2 linked regions of the Caenorhabditis elegans genome follow. The protein of the gene in region 1 purifies or fractionates together with the protein of each later gene. This does not show direct contact. Each region holds a gene or a part of one and is shown on either strand. Other genes may lie near its edges.

What was found. Proteins that work in one complex are often made in the same cells at the same time.
Region 2: the proteins of Y38F2AR.10 (region 1) and T20B3.1 fractionate together in Caenorhabditis elegans (co-fractionation; one large-scale study listed by BioGRID). This does not show direct contact.

What each region holds. Positions count from the first base shown.
Region 1 is NC_003282.8:2,394,876-2,403,045, reverse strand, and holds Y38F2AR.10 (Major sperm protein), read left to right. Parts: upstream 1-3,525; 5' UTR 3,526-3,625; coding exon 3,626-3,676; intron 3,677-3,760; coding exon 3,761-3,966; intron 3,967-4,016; coding exon 4,017-4,203; intron 4,204-4,284; exon of another isoform or gene 4,285-4,394; intron 4,395-6,678; coding exon 6,679-6,789; 3' UTR 6,790-6,805; downstream 6,806-8,170. Other genes in the region: Y38F2AR.12 (5-oxoprolinase), read left to right, coding at 246-578, 1,162-1,329, 1,661-2,140, 2,456-2,775, 3,098-3,218, 3,427-3,486; eri-5 (Tudor domain-containing protein), read right to left, coding at 7,008-7,192, 7,612-7,949.
Region 2 is NC_003283.11:16,812,969-16,822,569, reverse strand, and holds T20B3.1 (Choline/carnitine acyltransferase domain-containing protein), read right to left. Parts: upstream 7,010-9,601; 5' UTR 6,994-7,009; coding exon 6,909-6,993; intron 6,861-6,908; coding exon 6,733-6,860; intron 6,287-6,732; coding exon 6,120-6,286; intron 6,064-6,119; coding exon 5,939-6,063; intron 5,392-5,938; coding exon 5,276-5,391; intron 5,229-5,275; coding exon 5,139-5,228; intron 5,092-5,138; coding exon 4,975-5,091; intron 4,925-4,974; coding exon 4,823-4,924; intron 4,704-4,822; coding exon 4,512-4,703; intron 4,461-4,511; coding exon 4,203-4,460; intron 4,157-4,202; coding exon 4,072-4,156; intron 4,029-4,071; coding exon 3,884-4,028; intron 2,269-3,883; coding exon 2,167-2,268; intron 2,119-2,166; coding exon 1,998-2,118; 3' UTR 1,879-1,997; downstream 1-1,878. Other genes in the region: T20B3.14 (Neuropeptide-Like Protein), read left to right, coding at 1,254-1,332, 1,763-1,878; cand-1 (Cullin-associated NEDD8-dissociated protein 1), read right to left, coding at 8,487-8,558, 9,483-9,601.

The DNA of each region.
Region 1 (8,170 bases):
ACCAGTAAATTCATTGAAAAGCTATGGGATCCATGAAATATCCGGAATTTAGTATCTATAAAACTGATGAGATCTATGGAATCCGTTGTGCATATGGAAATTGAATCTACAGGTTTTCTGGTTTTCTGGGTTTTCGTAACAATATATATGTAGCTGTCAATATTTATGAACCATGGATGTCATGGAAATCTATGGCATCCATGGTACCTATGGATCTTATGGGTACCATATTTTTGTCCTTTCAGGAACGCCTCGACTTCTCGTGTGCCCTGTTCAATCCGGAAGGTGGCCTCATCGCAAACGCTCCACACATTCCAGTCCATCTCGGCGGGATGCAGTATACTGTGAAATTTCAAATCGATCATCGCGGAATCGAGAATATCAAGGAAGGAGATGTCTACTTGGCTAATCATCCGACAGCCGGTGGATGTCATCTACCGGATTTTACAGTTATCACGCCGGTCTTCTTTAAGGGACACAAGACTCCTGTCTTTTTCGTGGCGAATCGAGGCCATCATGCGGATATTGGGGGTCTGGTGCCGGGGAGCATGCCACCAAATGCACATCATATAGATCAGGTAAGGGCCGGAACTGAAGGTTCCTAGGAGGGCCTGGAGGATCCTGATAGGGCTTGGAAGGATCGGAAGAATACGTTTAGGATCCTAGAGATCACAGCAGGAGTCTAGGCGGAGTTGAAAGTTCAGAGAAGGAGCTGAAGAAGCCTAGTAGGAATTGAAAAAAACTTAGATAGACATGAAGGATCATAAATGTTATGAAAGGATTTCAGTAAGGCCTAGTGGATTAGAAAACAAGTTGGAAGATCCTGGAGTGAATGAAAGGATTTCCATGAAATTGGACGGAATCTAGGTAAATACTGAAAGATCCTAGTATGAATTGAAAGATTCTATTAGAGCTTTGAAGGATCGGAAGACGAAATGAAATATCCTAGGCAAAGCGAAAAGATCCTAGAAGACGCTGAAGGAACCTAGTTAAAAGTGGAAGGATCTTTAATGTAAATTAGAGGATTCCTGTGAGATTTGAGGGAACCTAGCTTGATATTATAGGGTCCTAATAGAAATTGGATCCCACTAGGAGTGTGGAGTTTCATGTGAAAATTTTAGAATCTAACCTAGATTTTGCTAAAAATTTATAAATTTCCAGGAAGGAGCTTCATTCATCTCCTTCAAACTAGTGGATGAAGGAGTTTTCCAAGAGCAGCGCCTAATCGATGCTCTTAAAGCCCCTGGAAAAGTGCCCGGATGCTCGGCGGCCAGAAATATCAGTGACAATATTGCCGACTTGAATGCACAGATCGCTGCCAATCGGAAGGTAATTTTTTGGTAATCTACCATTGCTCTACTTTGGCAGCTTATATCTCGGTTGTCTTTGATGTTATCAAAAAAATTTCAACTAACAAAATATTTAATATTTCTTTTTGCATAAGTTTGCATTTGATCACTTCTTGATAGCTTCAAATCTGGCAGAGATATAAACTGTCAAAGTTTGGACGACATGATGCTGACGATCAACTTCAAAAGCCTTTATCTCGACCAGCTTAGGTATAACCAAGAAATAGTCGAATAGCTAAAAAAGTTTTTAGATGTTTTCTGTACTTTTGTAGATCAATTTTTTTTTGATTACATCATGTGAAATTTTCCAGGGAATCCAACTAGTTACAAGTCTCATCGAGGAATACTCCCTTGACGTTGTGCACGCGTACATGCAACATATCCAAAACACTGCTGAGCTTTGTGTCAGGGAAATGCTCAAAAAAGTTGGACGGAAGGTTCTGGAGAAAACCGGCAAAAGTCAGCTATCTGGGGAAGACTTTATGGATGATGGAACAGTGATCAAGCTGACTGTAGATATCGATTCAGAGGAGGGTACTGCGATTTTCGACTTCACGGGTACTGGTCCAGAGTCGTATAGCTCTTGTAATGCTCCGAGAGCAGTCACCATGTCGGCGGTCACTTATTGTTTGAGATGTCTTGTCGAGAAGGATATCCCGCTGAATAACGGATGCTTGGCGCCGATTCAGATAAAGATCCCCGAGGGAACACTGCTGTCGCCGTCGGAAACTGCCCCGGTTGTAGCTGGAAATGTGCTGACTAGCCAGAGACTTTGTGATGTCATTTTTAAGGTGGGAAATTTGATTATCGATTTTTAGGAGACATAAAAATTATTGAAAATTATCGATTTTTAATATTCCCAAAAAATTATCGAATTTATCTTTTTTTGAAAGTTTTTGCCGGTAATTATCGATTTCTGTGGAGTTTGTATCGGATTTTTTTTTTTTGGAATTCTATTGTCGATTTTTCGGAACTATTATAATTTTTTTAAACTCAACAATTTTTCAACAAAAAATCAACAATTTTTAAAAATAAATTCGAAACAATTTCGAAAAAAATTATCGATTTCTTCCAAAATTCTAAACTAAAATTATCGATTTATCTAGACATTTGACATTGTCGCCGCCAGTCAAGGATGCATGAACAACTTGGTGTTCGGCGACGAGACTTGCGGTTACTACGAGACGATTGCCGGCGGTGCCGGCGCCGGCAACGGGTTCCACGGACGAAGTGGAGTGCATACGCACATGACGAACACAAGAATCACGGATCCTGAGATTTTGGAGAACAGGTTCCCGGTGATACTTCGGGAATGGAAATTGAGAGATGGATCCGGTGGAAGTGGAAAATGGGAGGGCGGTGATGGAGTTGTGAGGCAGTTGGAGTTTACGAGAAAGCTCACATTGAGTCTGCTGACTGAGAGACGGTAAGTGCGCTCCATTGAAACGAAAAACACTTGATTATGAAGATTTTCAAGCTAAAAATTAAAAATTCAAATTTTGCGCCGACCGCTTGTTACTAGTGCGCTCCATTGAGAAATTAGCTGATTTTATGATTTTTTACGACGATCATTTCAGAAGAACTTTGAACGTTTTTGAGCAGGCAATTCAAGTTTCGCCGACTGCACGTTGTATGTGTGCTCCAATAAGAAACCCATAGATTTGGATGATCTTTGAGCTTAAAATTTGAAGTTCGCATCGAGCGCGTGTTGCTATCGCGCTCTACTGATTGATTTGTTGGTTTTTCAGCGCATTCCAACCGTATGGGCTTCACGGCGGTCAGCCCGGACAACGAGGTCTGAATTTGCTGAAACGAGGTGGAAGAGCTGTAAATATTGGGTCGAAAGCGAGTTTTGAAATTCAAAAAGGGGTGAGTTTAGCGGGAAAATCGATATTTTACTGGAAACTTGAAAAATCGATAGTTTTTGCAATTTTTTTCCGAAAAACTCCAAAGTAAATTCCCAATTTTACTCCTGAAATAACGTTCAATAAATCGATAATTAATTCCAAAAAAAAAAAACCAAATTCGATTTTTGACGAATTGTTTTGAAAAAATCGATAATTTTTCAAATTTTCAGGATATTTTATGCATCGAAACTCCGGGTGGCGGTGGTTACGGAGCTCCTGAGAACTCATAATTATTGATTTTTTATACAATTTTCTTTTTTTTTTTTGTAAAAAATTTAAATTTAAATAAACGTTAAAATCTAAGTATTTGTTTTTTCCTTCATTTCTTTTCCTTTATTCTAAAAAATCGATAATTCCAATCATTTCTCAATGGATAGCGATGTGGAATTGAAAAATGTGCACTTTAATCCGTCGGAATCGGTGAGTTTTAAAGTTCTATCGATTTTTCTCAATGGAGCGCCGTTGCGGTGTTACGGAAACTCGAAATTTTTGTCAATTATCCAGGTAACATTCGACGCGGAACCACGAAAACAAGAAATTCCAATCGAAATTCAAAACAATGAATCAATGGATCTTCTGGTGAAATTTAAATCCACACGGTCCGGGATTTTCAACACATTGCCCACTTTTGCAATTGTTAAAGCCGGAAATTCGATGAAATTTGAGCTAATTTGCGAGGGTATCGATAGGGAAAAAGTTAGCAGAGACAGGTGGGAGAGAAAATCAATAATTTTGAACAAAAAAATCGATAATTTTCCAGATTCTCAATCATAGTTTCCGGCATCAAACCAACGGTACTCGCCGCCAAACAAATTTGGAAAAATTACAAGAATCGCGAGGAACTATTGATTGGAAAAATACACAAAAAGATGATTTTCATCAAATTTTCAGGAATCAATGAGACCGATTGGTGGAATAAGAGTATCTTCGGTGAACCGGAGACTAAGGTAACAAATTCGCGGTCAAAAATTGAAAAAAAAAATCCCATTTTTCCATCTTATACCTGAAGACTTATACTGCCTAAGTTGAAGCCTACCCTAGCCAGCCCCTAGGCAGCCCTAGCCAGCCCCTAGGCAGCCAGCCCCTAGGCAGCCCTAGCCAGCCCCCTAGGCAGCCCTAGCCAGCCCCCTAGGCAGACCTACCCTACCATAGGCAGCCCTAGCCTACCCTTGGCAGACCTAGCCTACCCTAGGCAGCCCTAGCCTACCCTAGGCAGCCCTAGCCTACCCTAAGCAGCCCTAGCCTACCCTAGGCAGCCCTAGCCAGCCCCTAGGCAGCCCTAGCCAGCCCCTAGGCAGCCCTAGGCAGCCCTAGCCAGCCCTAGCCAGCCCCTAGCCTACCCTATGCAGCCCTAGCCTACCCTAGGCAGACTTAGCCTACCCTAGGCAGACTTAGCCTACCCTAGGCAGACTTAGCCTACCCTAGGCAGCCCTAGCTTACCCTAGGCAGACTTAGCCTACCCTAGGCAGACTTAGCCTACCCTAGGCAGACTTAGCCTACCCTAGGCAGCCCTAGCCTATCCTAGGCAGACCTAGCCTATCCTAGGCAGACCTAGCCCGCAAGCCCCGAAGCTCGAGTTGGGTTAGAGAACATTCGAACGTGCGGTTTTACCCGGCTCCCTCAAACTTAGCGAGGGTCGAAGACATGCGGCACCCAACAACGACCGCCCAAAATTCACCGATAGCCCAGGAAGCACCCGAAGGCTTGAGGGAGAGAGTTAGTTGGCCCTCCGCCAGGCCAGAGATTCGCTTTCGCAGGACCCTGACAGACCCAAAAATTCACCGATAACCCAGGAAGCACCCGAAGGCTTGAGGGAGAGAGTTAGTTGGCCCTCCGCCAGGCCAGAGATTCGCTTTCGCAGGACCCTGACAGACCCAAAAATTCACCGATAACCCAGGAAGCACCCGAAGGCTTGAGGGAGAGAGTTAGTTGGCCCTCCGCCAGGCCAGAGATTCGCTTTCGCAGGACCCTGACAGACCCAAAAATTCACCGATAACCCAGGAAGCACCCGAAGGCTTGAGGGAGAGAGTTAGTTGGCCCTCCGCCAGGCCAGAGATTCGCTTTCGCAGGACCCTGACAGACCCAAAAATTCACCGATAACCCAGGAAGCACCCGAAGGCTTGAGGGAGAGAGTTAGTTGGCCCTCCGCCAGGCCAGAGATTCGCTTTCGCAGGACCCTGACAGACCCAAAAATTCACCGATAACCCAGGAAGCACCCGAAGGCTTGAGGGAGAGAGTTAGTTGGCCCTCCGCCAGGCCAGAGATTCGCTTTCGCAGGACCCTGACAGACCCAAAAATTCACCGATAACCCAGGAAGCACCCGAAGGCTTAAGGGAGAGAGTTAGCTGGCCCTCCGTCAGGCCAGAGATTTGCTTTCGCAGGTCCCTGGCAGATCCCAAAAATTCACCGATAACCCAGGAAGCACCCGAAGGCTTGAGGGAGAGAGTTAGTTGGCCCTCCGCCAGGCCAGAGATTCGCTTTCGCAGGACCCTGACAGATAGTGGGACAACAATATGAAGGGAGGTCATCTTCTGGATATACGGACAACTCACGGGTTCCGCTAGTTGCAGTGGAAAGAATGCAGGTTACTGGGAACACCTATCGATCGTAGAAGAGACGAGCGAGGACGATATGCACGTCATCGCCTCCCCCGTCATGACGGGAAAGGCGAACCGCAAACGGGAAAACGGTGTATATATCGATCGAGCTTTTTTTTCCAAAATAGGGAATTTCTCTATTTTAATTCATTTCAGTGGATGGGGTAAAACATATGGAACCTATAATAGAGCACCCAGACATAAAACAAGTGGCGAATTGAGCCATCGTTGCCGAAAAAACTATTCGCCGACAGAGCCGGAAATGGCAAAAAAATGCCAGAGTGTTCATGAATATTGTCCAGAAGCCTTGAGAAATCCAGAGAGAAAACTGCAATTTTTAGATCTAGAATTTTATTTTCAATTTTTTGTAGTTTCCCAAGCCTAACCGATTTTAATAAAATATAAGAAACCCTCTTAAAAAGTCTACAAGAAGGTTTTTCCTTGCGCTTGGAGCGCAAAAGAAAAGAAAAAGGGTTATTTAGACTTAGGAACAAACCCAATTTGAATAAATCATAGGAAATCCCCAATCCGACAAGCCTAAGGGCCCGAATCCTAGTATGTTTTTCGGGCCCTTAGGCTTGTCGGATTGGGGGGATTTCCTATGATTTATTCAAATTGGGTTTGTTCCTAACAAGGGAAGTATTTCAACTTAATCCCGGTTTGGTTGTCGAGTTGGTTGTCGAGAGCTCACGCTCGTCACTGACACCAAGCCTAAGCCCTAAGCCTGACTCAGCCTAAGCCCAAGCCTAAACCTACGCCTGGTCAAAATTTTCAAAATTTTCACTAAAAGTATTTATTTTCTACCAAAAAATCGATAATTTCCAGATCCCAACATTCGTAATCCAGCCACAACAATCCGATGACCCACTTTCGGAAGATATGAAAACTACGCTAATCGCTGGAAAATACACGTGTCTGCTTGTTCCATTGGAATAAATATTGATTTATTGATTTTTATCGTAAAAAATCGATAATTTAACACGTTCACGTAAAACAAACAGATCGTTAAAACGAGGAGGAGATCGATATTATAAAATACATGACAAAAAACAGGAAAAAATTATGTTATCGATTTTGTACTCCTCTCGGGCAAGTGGATTATCGATTTTTTTTTTGCAATTTTTCACGGGAGAAATGCGAAAAAATCAATAAAATCATCCGCTATCCTTATCGTCGCTAACATTTCCATCATCATCATCCTCTTTCTGGGTACGTAAATCGTCGGATCGTTCAGTGAAAAACGGCGACGGCGACGGGATTTTATCGAGCAAATTTTCGTCGTCTTCGTCGCCGGCGACCCGAATCTGCGAGAATTGCAGTTTGCCGGTTTCCAGGAATTCTGAAATGATTGGAAAATTATTGATTTTTACGATGCTCCGATATATTCCGCACATGGGAATTATCGATTTTTGACGAAAATTCGCGCGAATTAGCTATGGAGCGCATTTTCCCCTGAAAATCGATCGAATTGTTCCGCAGGAGAATTTTTGTCAATGGAGCGCATTTGGGACACGAGGCCGCCGGCGCGGGAAATTTGAAATTTTGCAAAATCGGCGAAATCCCATGAAAATTTCGAATTTTTCAGTTAAAAAACCAAAATTTCAGGTGTTCTCGGCGCGAAATTTGAATTTTTGAGTTAAATAGTGAAGTTTTGGTAAAATTCTGTGATTTCGGGTAAAATTATCAATGGAGCGCACAGGAACATGCAAAAATTGCATTTTTGTCGCTTTTCCAGAGAGAAATCCGTAAATTTCTCACCCATATCGGGTCCGACAACGATCGGCACGTCATAGGGTACAATTTCACGCCAAAAATGTGTATTCCACTCCATTTCGCTGTCGGCCATCGATAAATCGTCGTCGAGAAATCGGCCAATTTCAATGCAAGCCGGCGCGATTTTTGTGTGCTCAATGTGCATTCGGTGCAAATTTTTGAGCTTCAGGATGCCACGTGTTCCCAGATCCACGTAGCGAAGAGCCACGTTGGCGTTCGGCAAAAAATCGATAATCTCGCAACGGAGCCATTGAGCCGACGATTTTTGGCGATTTTTGATGGTTGCCATCACGTAGGTTCGGCCGGTTTGGAGGGCGAATTTTCTGGAAAAAATTTAAATAGAAAAATCGGTTTTTCGCTGGTGAAAATGCGCTCTATTGAGAAAAACTTCAAAAAATCGATTTTTGGCGGAAAATTCAATTTTTTCGCTGTTGAAAATGCGCTCTATTGAGAAAAACTTCAAAAAATCGATTTTTGGCGGAAAATTCAATTTTTTCGCTGTTGAAAATGCGCTCTATTGAGAAAAACTTCAAAAAATCGATTT
Region 2 (9,601 bases), on another chromosome or scaffold:
CCTTTTCTGATACCGAGAAAAAATCCAAATTTTTGAAACAGAAACCCACAAAATTTCATAGTTTTCTGCCCGGTTATGTCTTCAAATAGATCTCTTCCTGTTTTACATCAAAAAATCTGTGTGACATAAATATTTTGTGGCTTCATTTGATACATTTTATTTCAATTTCAAAAAGAAATACGAGCTTGAACTCTATTTGGCTTCTTCTTCGTTTTTTCAGGCACGGGAACAAATTGAGTGTTTTTTTGCTTGTTTTGGGAAATAGACTAGATAAATGTCAGGAAGTGTTCCCATTTTTTTGAAGTCGAACGCTTTCAGGCGGTAAATGAACATTTATTAGGGGGGAATTTAGTTTTTTTTGGACGAGTTTTCGTTCGGATACAAAAAAATGTGTCTGAAAATATTTTGGCTGGAAATTATAATTATTAAATTTTTCTTCATATTTTCTACTTTGGTATGATATGCTTGATGTCTGTCTTATTTTTAGAGCAAATTATGTACTCATCAAGATGGGCCTGACCATTTCCCGCCCCCAGACTAGCGGGACTTTAAAATTCAATTAATTTTGGCGGGTGTTTTTTTTTCGCATCCAAAAATTATTTTGTTTCAACTAAATTGTATCAATTGTTCAAAAATCGGTTTGTGCCTGCCTGCCTGCCTGCCTACTTACCGGGCATGAGGTATGCCTAGGATAGATTAGCGTAGGTAGGCTTGCAGCGGGCGTAGGTAGGCATGAACCAGTTGAAACGTAAGCGTGAGATAGACAATAGGTATGAGGCACTTATAGGGCAAAGGGTGGGCCTAGAGTAGGCAAGAAGCAGGCATAGAGTAGGCGTAAGGCAGGTCATGCTTTGGCATGAGGCAGACGTCGGATAGGCTGAAAGCAAGCATAGGGTACGCATGAAGCAGGCGTTGAAGAGGTACCAGGCAGGCGTAGGCGCCTTGTAGGTAGGTAGGCATTGCACGACATGCCTGACGGAAGCTTGCTAGAAACAAGATTCATTGTGCCTTCTCTGTCAAGTCAAACCCCCCACAAATCACTCATTCCCCTTCTGTCTTCTAATCTCCTCTTCCAGTTGCTTCTTCTTCCCTATGACGTCATCATTGCTCAACATTAAACCACGCCCTCTTTTCTCCCTTTGCCTTCCCATCTTTCACACTTGAGACCTCTTGAGCCCCCTGGAGGGCTCAATAGTTTTTAAACTTTTTGCACGTTCTCTCATTTGACAAAAAATCAAAAATTTTGCAGAAACATGCTCCGTATACTTTTGGTCCTTTTGGTTGTGCTTGCCATTGTTCATGTAACCGTTCAATTTACATTGGAGAAGAGAGGTACGTATTTATGTGCAGGCGCCAAATGATGCCTTCATGCCATTTATTCATGCCTACCTACGAGCCTGCCTAGCACCTATTCTCTGTTTCTAGCTTGACATCAAAAATTAGATATAGGCCAGATTGAAGAATTTCCTTAATTTCAACTGAATTCCTTTGAAAGTAGCCAACTATGTAGGTGAAGGCAGGCGTAGGTTTTTTTTTTCCAGAAAAGTTTTGCCGGCTTTCGGACGCAAGTTCAGGAGCAAGAATCTTTGCTCCAATAATGAGATTAGTAAATTTGAAATCTTTGATGATTTGCATCCTAATTCACATTAAAAATAAATTTCCAGAGCTTTGACCAATTGCAAATATAGTGTCTTGGCGCAATACTAGTTTTCTATAGTGACGTCACATATTTTCAGCATAATAACTTTTTTACAAATTCCAGGAGCCGCTTGGTTCCTACGCCCCAACTGGAAGCCCCCAACAAAACGATTCTACTATCCAGATGGAGCTATCGCCGCAATTGCACCCAACGATTTCGATCAATACATCATTTATTGATTTATTTAAAGTTGATTTTTGCTTTTTTGAGTTTGGGAAACAATAAATGAGAGTTGATGTGTTTTTCTGGTTTTTATTAATTTACAAATTTAATTTTTGAACATGAAAATACAGCAGATTTAGAGTTTCTGAGCAGGCGTTAGGAATGGAGCCAACGCGTCTAGAGCCCATAAAATATTTGCACAAAATGCGTCGATATTCGATCGTGACGAGACCCAATCGGAGACGGCAACGGAGATTCTGAGGTGGTTTTTAATTAGCCTAAAAGCTTTTTTGGTGACATCTCACCTAGATTTGCCGATTCTATAGAAGCAACCGTAGCCGTCAGGTCGCATTGCAGCCACGTAGCCGAAAGTTCCCGGTTGATTCCCGTCCATGTAGCCGATGAAGCTGTAAATTGAGTTTTAGACCATGACCAAGGGAGCTAATTGGTCGGTGCCACGATGCACCATGACGCTCTTTGGCAAAAAGTCCTAGTGTTTAATTCGGTGCACTCCATAATGTACGTCTACATCAGGGGTGTGCGGCAAATCTCAAAATTTGCCGAGCTCGGCAAATTCGGCAAATTTGCCGTGCTTGACAAACTCGGAAAATTTTGATATTTTATGATGTTTTTTGGAGCACCGAAACTACAGAATTCTGAACAAAAAATTAGTTGCTGAATGAGTTCCGTGTAGTGTGTCTGCTTAAACATCAAAATAACTCAATTTGGTGTCATTTTACCAAATTTTTGCCGAAAAAATTAACAGTTTTGGTCAAAATTGTACTGTCAAATTTTTGACGTGTGCGGCAAATTTCGAAATCTGCCGAGCTCGGCAAATTCGGCAAATTTGCCGCACGTCCCTGGTCTACATAGAAGTTTGACATTGCGCAGGAGTTTTAGCTCACGCAAGACTACGCTATTACTACGCAGGAGTCCCACTTTAAATGTCGATGCACCATAACATTACAGTACACCTTGACATTTTTATCGATGCACCATGCACGTGGAGTGTTCATAATTATTAGAGTGCGCTCGCGCGGCACCTCACGAACTCCAGAATTCGCGGAAATTCGTTCCGCGGGGACAGCAGTTAGTTGCTATTTTAGGCTTCTATGAAAATTTTTTTAATTTTTTGATTTATGATATTCTTGAGAAGCATTATCCGAATTGAAAATGTGTAAAATTATGAAATTTGACCAAAAACTGACGGTTTTACAGAAAGGACGGTTTTACAGCAAGGTTTTCTTTAAAATGTATCAGTACCGTCAGTTTTTCGATTTCAGAGTCGTAAAATATGTCATTTTGTAGAGAAAAATCTGTTTCACAAAAATTTGCGCTTGAAAATTTAAAATTGTTTTTTTAATGTATTAAAAACTGAAAAATTTTAAAAATAAGATTTTAACGTAAAATTGTTGATTTTTTGAATATTTTTATATTATAAATTAGAGAATTAAAATTTCAAACATGGATTTTTGTGATACAGACTTTTCTCTATAAAATTACATATTTTACGACTCTGCAATCAAAAAACTGACGGTACTGATACATTTTGAAGAAAACCGTGGTGACTCCTTTCTGTAAAACCATCAGTTTTCGGTCAAATTTCATAATTTTACACATTTTCAATTCGGATGATGCTTCTAAACACTATTTTAAATCAAAAAATTAAAAATAATTTTCATAGAAGCCAAAAATAGCCAAAAACTGCTGTTCCCTCGAAACGAGTTCCCGCGAATTCTGGAGTTTGTGAGGTGGCGTGCGAGCGCGCTCTAATAATTATGAACACTCCAGGAGGCCGTGCCATGATATTTCAGCCCCCGTGACATTGCCGTCGACGCACCATGACAACCCGAACAATTCACAATTAATTTCTAGTCGATGCACCATGACCAGGACTTATGGTGCATCGACTTATAGTGCTCACTGTTTTTGTTCAGTTTTTAATTGCCAAACATAGGTGTTTTGGCAACATGAAAACTAAATTTATTATCTGTTTTCATACCATCCAATTTAAAACCAAACCTCGTGGAAAGCAGGAAATTCCCGTCTCCCCCCGTCCTCTTCCACGTGTCATCTCGCAAAAATTCGGGTGCTTGACGCTTTGGGCCACATCCTTTGTTCATGATGGACAGTGTTAACTTCAAACCCATGAGATGTCGGTCAAAACCTGAAAATTCTAGTCTAACAAGTCTTCGAAGGATTTTCAGTACCTCTTCCATCCATACAGTCGGCCATGAGCTGGTTATGAGCATTGATGGCTGAGTCGAAGAGCTTCTTGAGATCCTCTTTCTCGTTCTGAATAGTTTTTCTTAGTCAGGGTTTCAATGCAATCTTGCTCTACCGCTACCGTTTGATCTCCCAGGAGCGCCTTCGCAAATCTGACAAACTGCGACGTACACCCACGCACGGTTTCAGTTCTGCCGTGGAAGAATTTACGGGTTGATGCGGTCTCGTAGATCGGAGCAAAGCTTCCGTGAGTCTTCAAAAACGCCAACTGAAGAGCCAACTGAACTACAGTATCCGTGTAGACTTTGGCAGTCCGGCACAGCTCGTTACCGTACCCATGGTGATGGACGCCGCGCGCTCGGTACAGTTGCTTCTGGAATTTTTAACATTTTTAGTGACTGGAGACACAGGGAAAGTCACTTACACTCTTGTAAAACTCCACATCTGCAAACGAAATTGCGTGTCTGAGCGGCTCATTGAACTCGAAGATTAGGCGTTCCGGAAATTCAAAGTGCAGGTCGGATCCTGTTTTGGCAGGGTGCCAAAGCTGCTTTCGAACACGAGAAGCCACGTAGTCACCAACTTGAAGGAGAACTATAGCATCAATGTTGGAGTGCTGAAAAAGTGGGGTTTAGGCGTAGGCTTAGGCTTGGGCTTGTGCTTAGGCTTAGGCTCAGCCTAAAGCTTAGGATCAGGCTTAAGCCTAGACTTAGGCGTAGGCTCAGGCCTACTTACATCTCCTTGAACCATCACTTGTGCGTCTTCATAAATAGTAATATTCACTGATTTATCCTGCCAGACAAACCAACTCTCGTCTTGAAGAGCATTTGACATGAGCTGGAATTATTTCTTCATTAGTATCTGTGGCAAAAAATGAAATCCCAAACCTTCTGCTGATCATCTCCACCCTTTTTTGGTACCATTGACAGAAACAAAATGCTCGTTTCAACTGCTCTTACATATTCTATATTCGCTGAGCTCACACGGAGCAGCTCGTCGCGGTTCTGGAAATCAGGATTTCGGACTAAAAATGAGCTGGAAGTCAGCTTACCAAGCTCCAAACGTCTCGATTCGTAGTTGTAAGCTTGCTGACACAGCACGAAGACTCGTCCGATGAGTTGTCTCTTACGAATTTCAGCATCTGTAATTATTTAATGTGTGCTCCACAATTAGAGCACTTTAGCTCACGTTATAAATCTCATCTGGGCTCTTGATGGTGTCATCGTCCTCATTTAAAATGTTTAACTTCCAAAAACACCCGTCACAACAAATAATTACATGAGTTGGTGTATCTCCTTCCTCTTCTGAAAAAAAAGTTAATTTTACAGGAACAAAATGCACATTTTTTGCACAGTTTTGCACAGTTTTTGCACATTTTTTGAAGCATTTTTGCACATTTTTGCACATTTGCTGAAAATTTGAAAATTGATCCATTCTAATTTATCTTGTGCTGGTGGCCGCGTAAATGAGAAACTCGGCCATCAAATTTTCCTTTGCGGTCACGTGGCAAAGTCCAAAGTCCCGCAAACTTTGGAATGACAACAATAAAACACAGTAATGGTCAACACCGCCGACATGTGTTTTATTATCTTATCACTCTTATCACACTCTTGCAAGCAATCAAATTGCTCGTAATTTCACACCTAAAAAATTTGAGCTGTTTTTCATAGGAACAATAAAAATCAGCGGCTGAAATTTTTAAGCATTCCAAGAATCAAAAATGTCAAAAAAAAAGAAAGATTTTTTTAGATTTTTGTGAAGCTGGATTTCTAGTGAGCAGATACGCAGAGAGACAGCCAAGGTTTTAGATTTCTAGGCCACGTCCGGATAGAAAATGGAAGATTAACCTACTTGTCTTAAAATACCGATCCATAGTGTCTCTTGTCCTCTGTGGTGTACGATTCGACGAGAATAAGTGATGGAATTGCTGCATATCCCACGTCACTCCGCGTGATGACGTCACTGGCCATTTTCCGCTAGAAATAATTTTTCTTTCGTCATGCCAGGATTTTTAGAAAATATAAACTCTCACTGTCGAACTTTATCCCATACACTAAGCCAATGATGAAGGACATCAGCGGCACGGCTCACTTGTCCTCCATCCACACAGTTGTACGCAGTGTTCATTGCTCCAAATGAGACATATGGAGCCAGGGGCTCACGGATCTCGGTGTAGGCGTTGTACCACCAGTCCTCAAGCTGTAAGTTGTTGGATCAGCTTTTTTTAGTTAAAATTTTTGGTTTATTTTAAAAAGCAGCCAAGGTATTTAAAATCGTCAACTTCGGCAGGCCATATCTCGGTTGAATTTGGTTTTAACAAAAAATTGTAAACTGACAACTTGTTTAAAATTTCGATTTCTATAATTTTGTAGTTGAAACTTTAGTTTTATCTTCAAAATTAAGAAAGATATAAGGGTTTTAAGATGGTGTGCTCATGGTGCATCGATCACCTTTTCTCAACTTTGACAGCCCGGGTGAAGTTTATTTTAGTAAAGTAGGCTTAGGCTCAGGCTAACGTTGAAGTTTAGGCCTAAACATAGGCTTGCGCATAGGCCCAGGCTTAGGTTTGGGCTTAAGTATAGGCTCAGGCACAGGCCTAGGCTTCGGCCTACTTACATCTCCAACGAGTAAAAACAATTTCTTACCCAATTCTTATGATTCTTTGCTCGATTCTCTAAAGCCGACTGCAGCTGAGCTCCGAGCTCCGAGTGCTGGAATTCATGAGCTTCTTTCTCGACACGCGCCTTCTCGGCAGGAGTCAGAATTGCCGAAGCTGAAAAATTACAACTGGTGGCCGAGTTTTCTCGCGGCCGCGGGGTACCTGAATCAATGTACTTCTCTAAAGTCTCCACTAAAGATGGAACCGGAAGACTCGGAAGTTGGTCTTGACGCGAAAATGTCGACATTTGATACGATCTGAAAGTTATTTGATATTTTTAAATTTAGTGGGGTGTTTAGTGCAATGGAGCGCGGTTGCATCTGTACATTTTTCAAAATAGCCTTAGGCCCGGCTAATTTCTAGGCTTAGGCTTATGGGTAGGTTTAGGCTTGGGCTGAGGCTTAGGCCTCGGTTAGACTTGGGTTTAGTCTTAGTTTTAGACTTAGTCTTAGGTTTAGATTTAGTCTTAGGCTTGGGCTAGGTTTAGGTTTAGGCTCCGGTTTAGGCTTAATTCTAAGCTCAAGCTTAGGCAAAAACAGTGAAAAATGGAATTTTTTGTTTATCCTCGATTTATATCACGAATGGCACATATCGTTTTGGGTCTCGCCACGATCTCCAGAGCTACAGTACCCCAAAATCTTCAAAAATTAGAAGAAAAAATATTGCAAAACAACAAAAAAAACATTGAAACCCAAAAATCGTGTCCCGCTGAAAGAAACAAATAAATTGGCAGCGATCTTTCTCGTCCGTGTAGAAGGCGTGTGATGATCCTGTGTGTGTGTGTTGTCTGCGTCTCCACAGTTCCCCGTACTCTCTCTCCCTCTCTAACTAGTCATGTAGGGGTTGAGGGACTGACTGACAGACTATATTGTGGCCTTTATCACGTTGATTTATGTAGTACTAGGGGTATCGCTAATGAATTATGGGGTTCAATTAATGGGGATGCACTTATGGGGCGAATTTTAATTTTGGAATTAAAATTGAAAATTTCAAAAAACGTTTTTCTTAAAATTCCAACTTTTCCAAAAGCTAGGTAAAAAACTAGTAAACAAAAAAAATTTGAAAATTCTGATAAAAAGTGAAATTTAGGGAAGAGGCTGGGGGTGGGTCAATGTGCATAAAAACGTGATAAGGCTCTGTGTTGGTGTACCCAAATGTAGACTACACTATGCACTTTTAAGGTCAGAGAATTGGTAGGTGGAGTTGAAATGCGAAAAAAGTTTACCAGAAGAACTCGAGGATAATATTTCAGATTGATAAAAATCTTAATTTTTGCGGACAAAAAATTTTGGATGAAGTAAGGTGCGAGGGGGGCGAAAAAAAGAATAAATAAAATACAATTACACACAAAAGTGGGGAAATCGACTCGCGATGACAGTATAGAGTAGCCAGGGGAAAAGGGGAAATTGATATTATCCAGACGCGAAAATTTGGCCGAAAAATACGGGTCTCAGCACGACAATTTTTGTTGCATGCAAAAAAATGTGTGCGCCTTTAAAAATTACTGTAATTTAAAACTTTTGTGGTGGAACCATGAGAAATCATTGAAAATCCCGCCGAGAAAAAAGTTTGAAACTACAGTACCGAGACCGTATTTTTTACGCAAAATTCAAAAGTCCGGTAGACAAAAACGAAAAAAAAAATGGGTAAAAGGGGAATATACTGTAACTATGTATAATTACACACAAAAATATAGAATTATCGGCGCGGGCGGGGGGAACACAAAAAAAAACGATATAATTATGCAGTTTCCATTGGAGTGTCGTAGACCACCGCGCGTTGAGACTCCTTGAGCACATCGTTGGCGAGAGCCTGAAAAGGAATGCAAATTATTTACTGGGACTGGGTTTTTTTTCGATTTTTCACCGTTTTTTCGGGAAAAAAATTCAAATTTTCAATAATTTCGTATTCTCATCAAATTTGATAAATTTTTGATAAAACTTCAATTTTTCAATTTTCAAAAAAAAAAAGGAAAATTTTAATTTGTCTTTTGAGTAGTTTTTGTCGACTGCGGCGCGGTTGATCTTGTCGATTTACGACGGCCGCCGTGTACTGTCGTGTAATTTTGAATTTATTTTTTCGCACACGATTTAAGACAGTTTTTGGGCAGAAATTCCCTAATTTCTATATTTTTGCTTTTTTTTTTAGAATTCCCCATATATGCAATTTTCAGCGTTTCTGTCGAAATTTTGCGTCAAAACTACGGTACCTGGTCTCGAAACGACAAATATTTTGTAGATCACAAACGGGTGTGCCTTTAATAAGGATTACCGTAATTTCAAACTTTCGTTGCTACTGGGGGAATTTTCATCGATTTTCCTCATTTTTTCAACGAAAAACAATGAAAATCGATAAAAAATTTTGTTTCATCCGGAGTAACAAAAGTTTTAAACCACAGTAATCCTTAAAGGCGCACACCCGTTTGTATTTTACAAAAAATTGTCGTTTCGAGACCTATGGTACCGTACTTTGGCACAAAATTTCGCATATTTTGACAATTTTCAATGTTCATTTTTAAAAAAGTGTGAAGACGGGAATTTCAGCCAAAAACTGTAAATTCGCGCGAGAAAAAACAGAATTCACAATTCTCAAAAAAATTGGGAATTTAATTGATTTTTAGCTCAAAATTATGGAATTTCCGTGAAAAAATTTCCGAAAATTCATCTTTTGAGCATTTTTACGGCGATTCTAGCAATGCTATTTTTTTTTGTTTTTTTTCCTGGCACAATCAAGTACCTCCAACTCTTTGGTATGTTTGATAGTGTTGTAAAGATCCAAAAATTGTGGATTTCTCTCAACTTCTGGCAGCTTCAACTTCAATCCGTATACAACACGAATGACAGCCTTCTTCAGCT